Linked DNA regions of Xenopus tropicalis. The protein of the gene in region 1 interacts with the protein of each later gene in a pairwise test. Links are inferred from orthologs where the notes say so. Each region holds a gene or a part of one and is shown in the gene's direction. Other genes may lie near its edges.

Region 1 (4,738 bases):
GGCTGATATTACTCCAGCTTGTAGCGCAGCAGTAAAGTGTGACTGAAGTTTATCAGAGCAAAGGTCACATGACTGAGGCACCCTGGGAAATAGAGAATATGGCTAGCCCCTTGTACAATTACAAAAATATAAAAAAAAAACCTGTTTACATTTTGAAAAACAGATTTCAATGCAGGATTCTGCTGGAAAAGCTATATTAAACTGATGCGGTTTGAATAAAAAAACATTTTGTATTTTTAGTTGCCATCTATGCTATACAGGGATCACAAGACAGGATATTCTACATGGCAGCAAAATAATAATTTATTTATAAACATTTATATGTAATCTATAACAACATAAAGGAGAACTAAACCCCCGCAATCCCCAGCCCCCCTTAACTGGCCTCCAGTGGACCACATCTCCGCACAGTATGTATGTATGTATAACAGTATATTCCATTCAAAAGTGTTCCTACTTGTGAATCTATCACAACCATGCAGAGGTGCGCAGCAGAGTTGACAGATGTCATCTTTTGTCTTTTTGGATCCTCTTCATTCACTAAACTTATAGAGAGCTTGCGGGAGTACACACAGTTGAGGCAGCTCCCCAACCCAGCTTTAACTGCCGGGAAACTGGCAGAAGAGGGGTTGTTTGCCTTTAAATTAACTTTTAGTATGATGAAATTCTGAGACAATTTGCAGTTGGGCTTCATTTTACATTATTTGTGGGGGGGTTTTAATTACTTAGCTTTGTTTAGCAGCTCTCCAATTTGGAATTTCAGCAGCTATCTGGTTGCTAGGGTCCAAATTATCCTAGCACCCAGGCAGGGGTTTGACTGAAAGACTGCAATATGAGTAGGATGCATTGAACATAAGGAATAAAAAGTAACAGTGAGCCTTATTTAAAAACTGCAAAGAGTTAAAAGAGGAAGGCAACTCATTTACAACATTCTACGATATGGATTTATATTACCCATGTATTTTTCCCTCTGATAAGCCTTATAATAACTTTTTATACAGTTTTTTTTATTGTGTTTTCCAGGTTATTGTGGAAAAGGTTTCAGGTTCCCAGATTGTAGATATCGATAAACGGAAGTACCTGGTTCCATCCGACATTACAGTGGCCCAGTTCATGTGGATAATCAGAAAACGGATTCAGTTGCCATCAGAGAAAGCAATCTTCTTGTTTGTAGACAAGACTGTGCCCCAGTCTAGGTGAGTGGAATTATTTACAAACATGTATTTTATCGTAGCACAGAAATACCTGAGGTTGAATGTACTGCCTGGAAAATTATTAAGGACTTCCAAGACACATCCCCCCAAAAAAAGTATTGAACATTTCAAGAAGAAAATCTATTTGTAATGATTCCCTAACATTACATAATGTGCTCACTGCAGTTGCTCATGTGAGGCGGAACTACTAAATGGAAGCAGCTAGCAGAGTAATCATTCCTCTAAAATCATTAGAAAATGACATAGCAGCAATTGCTTCAGACATTAATGAAACCGGTATTCTTGGCATTCCCCTCCCGATAAACTACCATACCTCCACAGATGGAGGAGGAGCATCTCCACATAATGTAGGAAAATGTAAATGTAATATCCCATCCAGTCTTTGGTCCTGGGTCTTGAAACAGTGTAGCAGAAGTCAGTTCTCCATGTTTGTTTAGCAGCTGGCTACTGCTACCTTGTTTCACTAGTCCGAACCAGCAGTTTTTGAGAATATAATTAAACCGGACAGATACTGCTTTTAGTAGTAACTACATTTACAGATAACTTTAGAACTATTAACCATTTGTAATTAAACAATATTGGAAAGCTGCTAAGAAAAATATTTTTCCATTTAAAGGAGAAGGAAAGTAATTTTGGCATTTTACTGCCAATAGATTCACCACATTAGTGCCACCTACAATGCTATATTTATTCTGCAGAAAGCTTTACCATACCTGAGTAAAGAGCCCTAGAAGCTCCCTCCGTTTGTTTAAGATAGCAGCTGCCATTTTAGCTTGGTCTTCATACCTTCCTGCTGCAGCTCTAGCCATTGGTCGCACAGATTACACATTCTTAAGGGAGGGGGGAGCAGAAAAAGAGAGAGAGGAGAGAGCTGTGCAGACTCTGGCCCGGGAATGAAGGATATTTTTGAGAGAGGAAAGTCTGTGACATAAGAACATGTTTACAAAGAAGACAAGAAAATCCTGTGTTTCTTTTGATAGAGGACTCAGTGCAGCTTTTCTGTGAGTTCTTATGGCTGTATTTACATAGAACTTTCTGATAAAGCTTACTTAGTTTTTACTTTTCCTTCTCCTTTAAGGTCACACTTAAGATACATTTTGGACATTCTTTAATGTTATGTTGATATTTTTTCTATAATTTTTATATAAAATGGATTGCAGTGCTGAAATAAGAAGTTATAGTAAACTTTCAACTAAATGTTTTGTCTTTACTCTCATCTATCTGTAGCCTAACAATGGGACAACTCTACGAAAAAGAAAAAGACGAGGATGGATTCTTATATGTGGCCTACAGTGGAGAGAACACATTTGGTGTTTGAGTCTAGTTACAGCCAGTGAATCTTGTAAATATAGGTGGTTTTGTTTTAACACCACACATAAACTCCCATCCATTAGGAAACACTTCTAAAACTGGATACATTTCAGTAATGCACATGTCTTGGTATTCATGTTTGTGTTTAGGCTAGTAAATTAAGATAATTTAATTATTATTATTATTATTATTTTCTTGTTCTGTCATTTAACATTGCTGCTTAAAGGGTATTGTGACAGTTCCTTTAGCAGCAGTTATATTATGCCATTTACACATAATGGAAAGTGTGATTTGAGTAAATGAACATTGTATGTTTTATTCAGAATACTCCTGGATTCATTTTAGGCCTGCTTTCATAGGACTCATAAGAATATACGCCATTAATCAGTAACCGTCCTCTTACTGCTATGTAACAGTCCAACTTTACAAAATCCATCAAATAAATGTACATTATTATCATACAATAAAATGTTCTGTGTGATATCTGTCCCAAGATATTTACATACCAAAAGCAATTTTAGTGTTAAAGGGGTGGTTCACCTTTATGCTAATGTTTAGTATGTTATAGAATGTCCTATTCCTAGCCTGACTCCTTCCTATACACAGATCAGGCTAGGCTCTATCAATCGATCGCCGCATAGTTGATGCATCTCCTGATACTTTCCCCGGCATCACCATATCGCCTTTGTTCAAATGACAGGAAGCCAAGTTTTTTACAGGTATTTTCTACTAAAGCATTCAAAATAACAAATGGTTTTCAGGATAGGGCAATTATTGGGGGAGGGTAGAATAGATTTTTTAGTTAAAAATTTTAATGTTACTTTTCCTTTAAAAGCCCAAATTCCTGAGAGATTCCATCCTAAGGGTACGAAGAGTGGTTGAGTCACCCGCAATAGGGCTTTCCACCGGCGACTCCTTTTGTTGCAGCTAGTGATTTTCTCTGATCCTTGAAAGGGTTTCTGTCATGATATTTATGGTGAACTTTTTATTTCTAAATGACACTGTTTACATAGCAAATAGTTCACTCTACCATTTAAAATGTTGTTCTTAAACCAACAAATGTATTTTTTAGTTGTAATATTGGTGTGTAGGCGCCATCTCTGTGCCCAATTCTGAGCATTCAGAAGGAGCCAGCACTACACATCAGAACTGCTTTCAGGTAACCTATTGTTTCTTCTATTCCCATGTAACTGAAGGAGTCCCAAGCTGGACTTGGATTTCTTACTATTGAGTGCTATTCTGATATCTACTGGGAGCTGCTATCTTGCTACTTTCTCATTGTTCTGCTGATCGGCTGCTGGTAGAGGGGTGATATCACTCCAACTTGCAGCTCAGCAGTAGTGTGACCGAAGTTTATCAGAGCACAAGTCATATGACTGTGGCAACCTGGGAATTGAAGAATATGGCTAGCCCCATATGGAATTTCAAAATTAAATATAAAAAAATCTGTGTTTTTGATTTCAAATGGATTTAAAAAAAACAAAAAACGTTTTCCCATAAGAGTATTTCTTTGATATTTTATTTGGTATCCTCTTATTCTAAATTCGTGTTCGATCTCATCCAACCTTTTGTCCTATAGCAGCTTATTTTGAACAATGTTATACTCTCCTGAATAAAGATTTTGGAAGCAACTGTTTTATGTAGGAGGGATAGGAGTCAAATCCCAGTGTATTTCTGTCCCCAAAAGACTGCTCTTTTGTTTCCCAATTAGAACATCAAAGTAAAGGACTTGTTTCTGTTCTGGGCTTACTATAACTATAATGTAAATCTATAAACTCACTAGGTCATAATGCCGCCCTGTCCATATAGCAAACACATTATCAATATACCTATAATATTTACAGTATCTCTGAAACTTACTATGCACATATATTAAGGTTCTTTCAAAGCCATCCATGTACAGCTTTGCATAGGACAGAGCGGCATTCAAACCCATAACAGTTCCCTTAATTTGCAGGAAAAAAATGTAATTTCAACTCAGCACTATCTTACAGGTGACCTTGTCGAACTCTTGTGGACCTATGGGAGTATATATAACACAGAAGGTATCAGGTTATTTTGAAGCAAATAAGAAACCAGTTTATTACATTCCCAGATAAGGTGTCCTTTTATCAACTCAATATAATATTTCTTATCCATCACAACTGCTCCTCCCTTATCAGCTGGTTTTATGACCAGCTTCTTTTTATTTGGTAGTTCACATCATGCCTTTA
Region 2 (4,232 bases), on another chromosome or scaffold:
AGGTAGTTTCATTTAGATGGAAACATTTTCTCAGTATATGTTTGAATTTTTCTTAGAGCCCAGCAGTGACGATGAATCATATGAAGTGTTGGACCTAACAGAGTATGCCAGACGTCACCATTGGTGGAACCGCTTGTTTGGGCGGAATTCTGGGCCACTTACAGAAAAGTATTCTGTAGCTACACAAATCGTCATGGGAGGTGTGTCAGGCTGGTAAGAAATGCATCTTCAAGGCATACCTACAGTTGTGTTAGCTCTTTCTTAACAGTTCAGTGCCACTCTGTAAAAAAAAAAAAAAAGACTTAATAAATTAGTCAGGATTTAAGAACATTCTTGGTTATAGTTATTTTCTTAAGGGCCAGTATGCTGCCCGGCCACATAGCGCATTCAGTAGACATGCATGCATGGATGCATCACAGAGGTTTCCAGCAAGGTTCAATAATATAATCCAGCTGCTGGATTACAAGTGAGTTTTGCTGATAGTTTTTATGTATTCAAATACAGTATAGAATGTGCCTATATTGTGGGCATTTTATACACAGATTTGCATGTTTATATATCATACAGACTTAGAAATCTTAGAGTATATATTGATATAACTGCTAAATGTATTCAAATATGTTTATTTTATTTATAGGTGTGCAGGATTTTTGTTTCAAAAAGTTGGCAAACTTGCTGCAACAGCAGTAGGTGGGGGTTTCCTTTTGCTTCAGGTAATAAATAACATTTTTCTTATTTTTTGGCAGCAAGTGACGATTTTTACACATATAGGATGTGATGTCTTAAAATGTGGAGCCTTACACAGTTCTGCAGTGATCAATGATACTATGGGTAGCAGATTGCAAAAATGGTCTGGGCCTGGGGGAATAAATACCTATTCTCTGACTTTTATTCCATTCTATTGCTGACACTCCTCTCATGTTACCTATTAAAGGACAAGTATTCATTGTGGGGGTGTGAATGTGTTCGACACCCTCAGTGGATATAATACCTTAGACACCTGCTCTGAGTACTAGTTCATGAGTGATTCTGCCATGATTTCCTGTTGCTCAGCAGTCCTCTCCACAGTTTTGGTGCAGTTTTAGTGCTCATGCACAGTAACTTAATACATTTGCTTTAAAGTTCCTATTTTCCTGTACAACCCATTCAGGCTGTCTACGACACCAGAAGGTTTCTGGGGCATTGGGCAGTCATGCATCCTACTTCATGGCTAGTGTCTTACTGGGGATCTTTCTGTAATTTGGATCATTGTACTTTATGACTACTAAAAAATAATTTAAAAATGAATTGAACTCAATGGGATTGTTTTGCCTCCAATAAGGATTAATAATATCTTGGTTGCAATCAAGTACAGGGTTCTGTTTTATTACTATAGAGAAAAAGGGAATCATTTTTATAAATAAAAATTATTTTATTAAAATGAGAAATGGTCTTATCGTAATTTGAAGCTTTCTAGATAGCAGGTTTGCTGATAACGAATCTCATGCCTGTTATATGGTGGGACTAAGAAGAAAAATACCCCAGGACAGATTACTGCAAGGGGTTTGTTTGTTCTTGCCTTACTTTTGTGCAGTTTCTCCTACTTCCTTAAAGGAGAACCATAGCCCTGGGCGCTAAAAGTCCCCTTAACTATCACTGCCTTGACCCCCCCCTCACCTCTCCTTTATCGCATAGTTCCTAAGTTTAAACGCTGTCCCTATCGCTAACCCCTAGCTAAAAATGCAGAGTAGTGCAGCAGCGTACCTGGCCAACTTCTTCTTACCAACTGAAGACTCTTTGGTTCTTACCGCTGACACAGACCCTGCTTGCGCATGCGCAGGTGAAGCTGATTTCCTGCTACCTTATTCTGCGCAAGCAGGTTCGTATTGGCAGAAAGACCCAAAGTGTCTTCAGTTGGTAAGAAGATATCGGCCAGGAACACTGCTGCGCTATTTTGCATTTTTAGCTAGAGGTTACCGATAGGGACAGCGTTTAAACTTAGGAACTATGCGATAAGGGAGAGGTGAGTGGGGTCTAGGCAGTGATAGTTAAGGGGGCTTTTAGCGCCTGGGGGTATAGTCCTCCTTTAATATTATTCCACAGTTCTAAAGCCAGTAAGTACTATGGCACCCCTGAATCAATAAGGGCACCATAATGAAAGTTACAGATCATGCCTTTGGACACATAGTTTATCACTGTAAATCTATGAGCTGGTATATTAGCCCTATTTAACACAATTTTAACCATTTGACTTACACCGCATACTTAACACATTGAAAGTAAAAAATATATTGACACAAAATGAAATTGGTAGTTCAGTCCTTTTGTAGTATGATGTAGACATTAATATTCTGAGCCACTTTGTATGTAAGCATATATTTATACAGCGCTACTTATGCATGCAGTACTAACAATAAGTACTGATAGAACAAACAGGGTCATTACAATAATAAATGCAAATAAATACAAAGTAAAGTTGTGCTAAATATTAAAGAGACAAGAGAAATGAGGTCCTTGTCCCACAGAGGTTTACATCCAAGTACAATCAAAAAATCTGCAGTTAATTTTGTTGTTTTTGAATTATTCAGCTTTTTTCAGTCGGGGGTTGTGTTGTCCCCCCAATTCGAAAGACAAATAAGGCAACCACTATAAAAAATGAAGACCAATTAAAAAAAATTCTTAGGAATATGGCATTCTGCAACATACTAATGGGTGAGCAAAATAGCAGACGTTTCATTCAGTCCTTTTGTAAAACCATTTTCTGCAATTACAGCTTCAAGTCTTTTAGAGTAAGTACATACCAGTTTTGTACACCATTCAGAATTGATTTTGGTTCATTCATTTATTCAGATTTTCTCCATATTGTTTGCATTAGCCGAATTACATTGATGCACCTCAATTTACTAATAATGCCCCAAGTTCTTGAGCTTGATTGAGATCTGCACTTTTACTGAGCCTCTCCGTTGTTACTTTGGTCTTGTGTTTGGGATAATGTAAAGTAGGGTGGTGCAAAAGAAGCCATTAATAAAAAAAAAAAAATGTTGAAAAGTTGTTGAAGGAAGCATTAGAGCAGCGTATGTGGTGCAAATTTACCACTGTCCACACCTCAAAATTTTCATACCTACAAGTATGGTTTTGTATCATTCTTTATGCTCTAATCTTCTATCTTTATTTTTCTTTCTTCAGATTGCCAGTCATGGTGGATATATACAAATAGATTGGAAGAGAGTTGAGAAAGATGTAAACAAAGCAAAGAGAAAGATTAAAAAGGAAGCAAATAAGTCTGTACCCGAAATTAACACTTTAATTGAAGAGGTAAGAGCCTAAAATGTTGCTTAAAGGGCACATATTGCGTGAATATTATCCCCCCTACTGCAACTGTGGGCTTATAGAAACCGCATTCCGAATGTCCCAAAGCCCAATACACTTTTTTTTGTTTTCCCATCCAGAGTGCAGGCTCTATCAGGCTGTGCTGGGGGAAGAATTATTTTTGTACAATTGGTGCCTTTAAATGTGTTTCAGAAGCCATTTATTGAAATGCAATCTTTTCTAAAGGAAAACCTAGCCAAAAATTTTTATTGCAGAAGAATAGAGCAGACATAAGTGACACAGGAACACCACCTAGCTAAGCCTTTTGTGTATTTATCTTTTACAAATCCCTTGATTTAGTATGCGGCAGAGGCACCTACAAGAGGTTACCAGCTCTTGTATCATTTCAGTGTTATACTCACAAATTTAAGTCCTTCAAAATATGCATAAAGTTAGTAGTGTTCCAGTAATAGGTTTGTCAGTATCACTGAATTATAGGTGAATAATTAGTAGATATATACCTATTGCACATCTTAGAGATACCATGTGGTGGTGTCTCTGTGCAGGTCCTCTAGTGTGACTCTTTTATAGGCTGGGGTACATATGTAACTAGTGCTACAGCCTTATTGGACAATGCCTGCAGAGAAACAGCAAGTGGTGTCAGACCCCAAGGTATCCCTGGTTTGGCATGGGGTTATTCCAACACTGAACACTACCCCACCCGTTCAATAGTGATATGGTTGCAGTTCCTGTTATTTTTAGGAACGTATCTGATGCAATATATGTAGTCCATATAACCGTGAACAAAGCCGCTATTAGTGAATGAAGTTCACTATGTTAAGTCCCACAAAACTTGTCAAACAAAAAGTGATATAAATCAATTCAGATGTGTGAGTGATTTGAAATGCTTTGGTGAACACAGTTCTGCCAAAATCTATTGGGCG
Region 3 (5,139 bases), on another chromosome or scaffold:
ACTTTCATGACTTATTTTTCTAGGCCCCTCTCCTATTCATATACCTGTCCATCTTTCAAACCACTCCCTAAGGTAATTTGGACCCGAGCAACCGGATAGCTGCTGCAACTCCAAACTGGAGAGCTGCTGAACCAAAAGTGAAATAAAATAAATAAATAAAAGAAACAGGGGGGCCCATTTATAAACACTGGGCAAATTTGCTCCTAGCAACTGGTTAGTTACCCACAAACACACCTTCCTGTCTTTAAATCAGTCATCCCAGTGCTTGGTATAGAGGGTTAGCGCCCTCCTCTGTCTGAAAGCAGTAAATCTATCGGCACAACAAGAGCAATTCCAAGAGAGGCAGACCTGTTTTAAAACAACATTATTGGTTACCATGGGTTACTGCCCCTGGGCAAAGTAAGTGCTTTTTAGTACACGCGGGTGGGGTAATGTTTAATTTGGAAGTAGAAAGCGGCCTAATAAATGCATGACGTTTGGGCAATAATCCAATCTGTTGATACTGTAAGAACTGGATCACAACAGACTTGGCATGGGTGCATTCATATTAATTTAGTATATATGATTTTATCTTTTTGCAGTTCCTGTCATGGAGCAGAAGGGAAGTTTAGTGTCCAGAGCAAACAGCATTGGATCCACAAGTGCATCTTCAGTGCCCAATACAGGTAAATCCTAAAACTGTTTGCACATGATTAACCTCACCTTCCACCCATTGAGGGTTGCTCTATTTTATGTTTTTATTCAAGTACATTTCAGGCTTTAAGATTAAATATAAATTCTAAACTGTGAAAAATATTTTCCAAAAGTAGTACAGGTATGGACCATGTTACCAACAATGCCCTGGACCTGGGGTTTTGCAGATAAGGGGTCTTCCCGTAATTTGGATCTCCATACCTTACGTGTACTAAGAAATCATTTAAACATGAAATAAACCCAATAGGGCTGTTCTGCCCCCAATAAGGGGAAATTATATCTTAGTTGGGATCAAGTACAGGTACTGTTTTATTATTACAGAGAAAAGGGAATCATTTAACCATGAAATAAACCCAATAGGGCTGTTCTGCCCCCAATAAGGGGTAATTATATCTTAGTTGGGATCAAGTACAGGTACTGTTTTATTATTACAGAGAAAAGGGAATCATTTAACCATGAAATAAACCCAATAGGGCTGTTCTGCCCCCAATAAGGGGTAATTATATCTTAGTTGGGATCAAGTACAGGTACTGTTTTATTATTACAGAGAAAAGGGAATCATTTAACCATTAAATAAACCCAATAGGGCTGTTCTGCCCCAATAAGGGGTAATTATATCTTAGTTGGGATCAAGTACAGGTACTGTTTTATTATTACAGAGAAAAGGGAATCATTTAAACATGAAATAAACCCAATAGGGCTGTTCTGCCCCCAATAAGGGGAAATTATATCTTAGTTGGGATCAAGTACAGGTACTGTTTTATTATTACAGAGAAAAGGGAATCATTTAACCATGAAATAAACCCAATAGGGCTGTTCTGCCCCAATAAGGGGTAATTATATCTTAGTCGGGATCAAGTACAGGTACTGTTTTATTATTACAGAGAAAAGGGAATCATTTAACCATGAAATAAACCCAATAGGGCTGTTCTGCCCCCAATAAGGGGTAATTATATCTTAGTCGGGATCAAGTACAGGTACTGTTTTATTATTACAGAGAAAAGGGAATCATTTAACCATGAAATAAACCCAATAGGGCTGTTCTGCCCCAATAAGGGGTAATTATATCTTAGTTGGGATCAAGTACAGGTACTGTTTTATTATTACAGAGAAAAGGGAATCATTTAACCATGAAATAAACCCAATAGGGCTGTTCTGCCCCCAATAAGGGGTAATTATATCTTAATTGGGATCAAGTACAGGTACTGTTTTATTATTACAGAGAAAAGGGAATCATTTAACCATTAAATAAACCCAATAGGACTGTTCTACCCCCAATAAGGAGGAATTATATTTTAGGCTGGGGGTAAATTCCCTGTCAATCTGCTCTGCTCCAAATTTCGATACCACTCATGAGAAGGAAATTATGTTTGAACGCAAACTGTGAAATAGCAATTGCAGCAATTTCTGGGCAGAAATCAATAACTTCTTAGCTGATAACTATTAGTTTAATTTGGCACTGTGCAGCACTCTCTCTTTATATGGTAAAGGACAGATGGTTGGTTTGGCTTATCATGGTGTTAAATAGCATCTATGTGCCTCACCGTTTCTGTAGCCTGCAACATGATGGACAATGCTTGTTCCCTAACCTCAGATGACGAGGACAGTGATGACCGCCAAGAGACCATAAAAAATGACTACAAGGACCGACGCAGACGGGCACACACCCAGGCTGAGCAGAAGAGAAGAGATGCCATCAAAGTAAGAATTGAAGGCTACATATTGGGGAAATAATCTGAAGACTGAGGGCTGTCTGCAAAGAATTCACTGTAGATATAACATAATGGTGGCCGGGGGGGCAGCCCCCATATCTACAGTGACTATGGGGCTTGGTGTGACCCCTTGTATCTGCAATGTATTTGCTGTAAACAGCCCATAGTGTAGTGGGCTTGATTATTAGATACTGTATCTATAAGGGTAAGGTTATATTGCAACGGCATCATACATAGGGTCCTGCTTGACCAGGATGGGGTGGGGGTATCAGAGACCGTTAAGAATAAAAGCTTTAGGGGTCATCATAAATTATCAATCAGAAAATAAGGTTGGCCTGTCATATAAGCTGATGCTACAGGGCCAATTAATCTGCTGCTAATTGCACTGGTTTCAGAGCTGCCATATAGCAATGATCTGTATTAATTACTAGTCAGCCTTATATTGTGACATTTATATTGTATATATACTGTATATTGTGAGTGGGTCCCTAAACTCAGGTAAGTGACAGCAGCACATAGTATGTGCTGGGAATCAGCAGAAATGAAGATGGGGGGCTACTGGGGCATCTTGGGGGGCACAGATCTTCCCTGCTAAAGGGCTGTGGGTGCCTTGGGCTGGTACAGAAACCCAAAATATCATGTACATTTACATACACCTAGTATGAATAGGTCCTTTTTTTTTCCTATATGGATTTATAATAGAATAGCATAGAGAGGTGTCGGCACTCATAGGATTTCCACGATCATATTGAAGAGAATACTCATGGGTAAATGCAAACGGTGAGGTTTATTTAGTCCTACGTTTCGGTTCCCTACTGGAACCTTCGTCAGGGAAGATTTATAATAGAATGTAAAGGGCTCTTCCTGGGTTTCTCACCACAATAATGGCTTCTGCCTGTATCTTGCAGAAAGGCTACGACGACTTGCAGTGCATCGTGCCCACCTGTCAGCAGCAAGACATCGCTATAGGAACACAAAAACTCAGCAAGGCTGTTGTTCTGCAGAAGAGTAAGTATTCTGCCCCCACAGTACCCCCCCCACACACATCAATGACAATTGCAACTGCCTTGTATTGATAGCTGTATGGTTATGCGCCATGTAAGGGCCACTTCTGGGTATGGTGTGGGGAGCAGTTATCAGCTGAAATGCTGCTTCGTTGGGATATAGCTGCATTTAGGGTAAATGGATATTATGATTAGCCAAACTAGCAATCTGCAAGCATTTCCAGGGACAGTACCTTCCTGTTCAACATGAGTGTAACAAATAGGACATAAGCCAGATATACTCTCTGCCTGTTGTTTTTATCACAAAAAAATTTATTGTTTTTGTTTCTTGAACTAAACAGGACAAATAGATATGGTTCTTATGAAGTAGAAGGTTAGATTACCAGTGCATAGCCACAGCAGTCCAACAAAGAGTGAAGGGGGTGGGTTGTTTATACAGAGCTTATTATCTTTAAACAAAAGGTGGCTATACATGGTACTGGAACCTCGCTAAACAAGTGGTCTTTCCCCTGATATGCCGACCTTGGGTGGGGGATATCGTGCTAATGCGATTTATTTGGCATAACTGAGCCAACAAGGTCCTTGATCCGACAGAAAAATCAAACCTGCCTGAACTACATCTGACCAATTTTAGGCCAAATATCGGTTGGGGAGGCCTGTCGGAGGTCCCCATACACGGCAGATAAGCTAAAGAACCCAAAAGGTGTATGGCCACCTTTATTCAGCTAATTAATGGTAAAGTGGGAAAGTTTAAAAGCCGGATAAGGCTCTGTTATTGAGTGAAGGGGATGGGTTGTTTATACAGACCTCATCTCTGGTTACGCTAACTCTGCTAATTGATGGTTACATTTTAAAGTTTGAAAGCCAAATAAGGCTCCGTTATTTTCAGCATGCGTTTACTTTTTTTTCTTGCTCATTTATTATTTATTACAAAAAAACCCCACACCCTATGCCGTGTATAGACTAATAGAGAATCAAGCCTTGATTTTTATATGATTAGAGCTGCCCATAGGCCAATGGGGGCAGGTTAGCGGGAGCGGGAAACATTTTATTTCCAGACAGTTCAGTAACGGTGTGGGTGTGTTGTACTGCGGTAAACTAAGGGGGAAAGAGGTGCAATTCATAAATGGGCAAAATAAGGGCAATAAAGCATGAAAGAATAGTAATGTGTGTTTTTTACTCAAGGGCATAATCCATTTTCCTGTCTTTCCTACAGCCATAGATTATATCCAGTTTCTCAATAAGGAGAAGAAGAAGCAGGAGGATGACGTGTCCACATTACGGAAGGAGGTCATGGCTTTGCAGATTATGAAATCGTAAGCTATCCATTGCTATTTGAATGCTTACGAAGGGGGGTGAATAAAATCTGTTTGTGGTTGGCTCACATTGTGCCCCCCTGTGCAACATGCGTGCAATGGAAAGGGCTTGTGCCTATTGTTTTAATCACAAAACATCTGTGGTTTTTGTCTTGAGCTAAACACGGAAACTGAAGCTCTTCCATGTTTGGTCTTTGTGAGGCAGATAATTAGATTACAACTTTACAGAGAATCCCTCTGCTTAAACTGGAGTAGAATCTATTTATATGCAGTTTCTACATACAGGACAAGGAAAGGAATAATTGTTTATATATGTCAGTTCTCGCCAGGACATGGGTAGGGTAAGAGGCTCTAACAGAAACCTATAATAAATGCCATAACGTTGAAGAGAAAGTCCAGTATCATGCAACTTCT

Evidence for each region. The genes of interacting proteins can lie anywhere in the genome.
Region 2: the proteins of gabarapl2 (region 1) and fundc1 interact in binary tests that used the Homo sapiens proteins (3 or more experiments, as listed by UniProt). The two-hybrid records come from large-scale screens. The link is inferred for Xenopus tropicalis from reciprocal best matches to the Homo sapiens genes GABARAPL2 and FUNDC1.
Region 3: the proteins of gabarapl2 (region 1) and mlx interact in binary tests that used the Homo sapiens proteins (3 or more experiments, as listed by UniProt). The two-hybrid records come from large-scale screens. The link is inferred for Xenopus tropicalis from reciprocal best matches to the Homo sapiens genes GABARAPL2 and MLX.

The regions. Positions count from the first base shown.
Region 1 is NC_030680.2:64,273,087-64,277,824, forward strand, and holds the end of gabarapl2 (gamma-aminobutyric acid receptor-associated protein-like 2), read left to right. Parts: intron 1-1,023; coding exon 1,024-1,196; intron 1,197-2,441; coding exon 2,442-2,532; 3' UTR 2,533-3,006; downstream 3,007-4,738. UniProt on the Homo sapiens protein: Ubiquitin-like modifier involved in intra-Golgi traffic. Modulates intra-Golgi transport through coupling between NSF activity and SNAREs activation. It first stimulates the ATPase activity of NSF which in turn stimulates the association with GOSR1.
Region 2 is NC_030678.2:55,862,457-55,866,688, forward strand, and holds part of fundc1 (FUN14 domain-containing protein 1), read left to right. Parts: intron 1-56; coding exon 57-213; intron 214-637; coding exon 638-713; intron 714-3,165; coding exon 3,166-3,294; intron 3,295-4,232. UniProt on the Homo sapiens protein: Integral mitochondrial outer-membrane protein that mediates the formation of mitochondria-associated endoplasmic reticulum membranes (MAMs).
Region 3 is NC_030686.2:6,140,218-6,145,356, reverse strand, and holds part of mlx (max-like protein X), read left to right. Parts: intron 1-581; 5' UTR 582-589; coding exon 590-665; intron 666-2,248; coding exon 2,249-2,394; intron 2,395-3,313; coding exon 3,314-3,413; intron 3,414-4,625; coding exon 4,626-4,725; intron 4,726-5,139. UniProt on the Homo sapiens protein: Transcription regulator. Forms a sequence-specific DNA-binding protein complex with MAD1, MAD4, MNT, WBSCR14 and MLXIP which recognizes the core sequence 5'-CACGTG-3'. The TCFL4-MAD1, TCFL4-MAD4, TCFL4-WBSCR14 complexes are transcriptional repressors.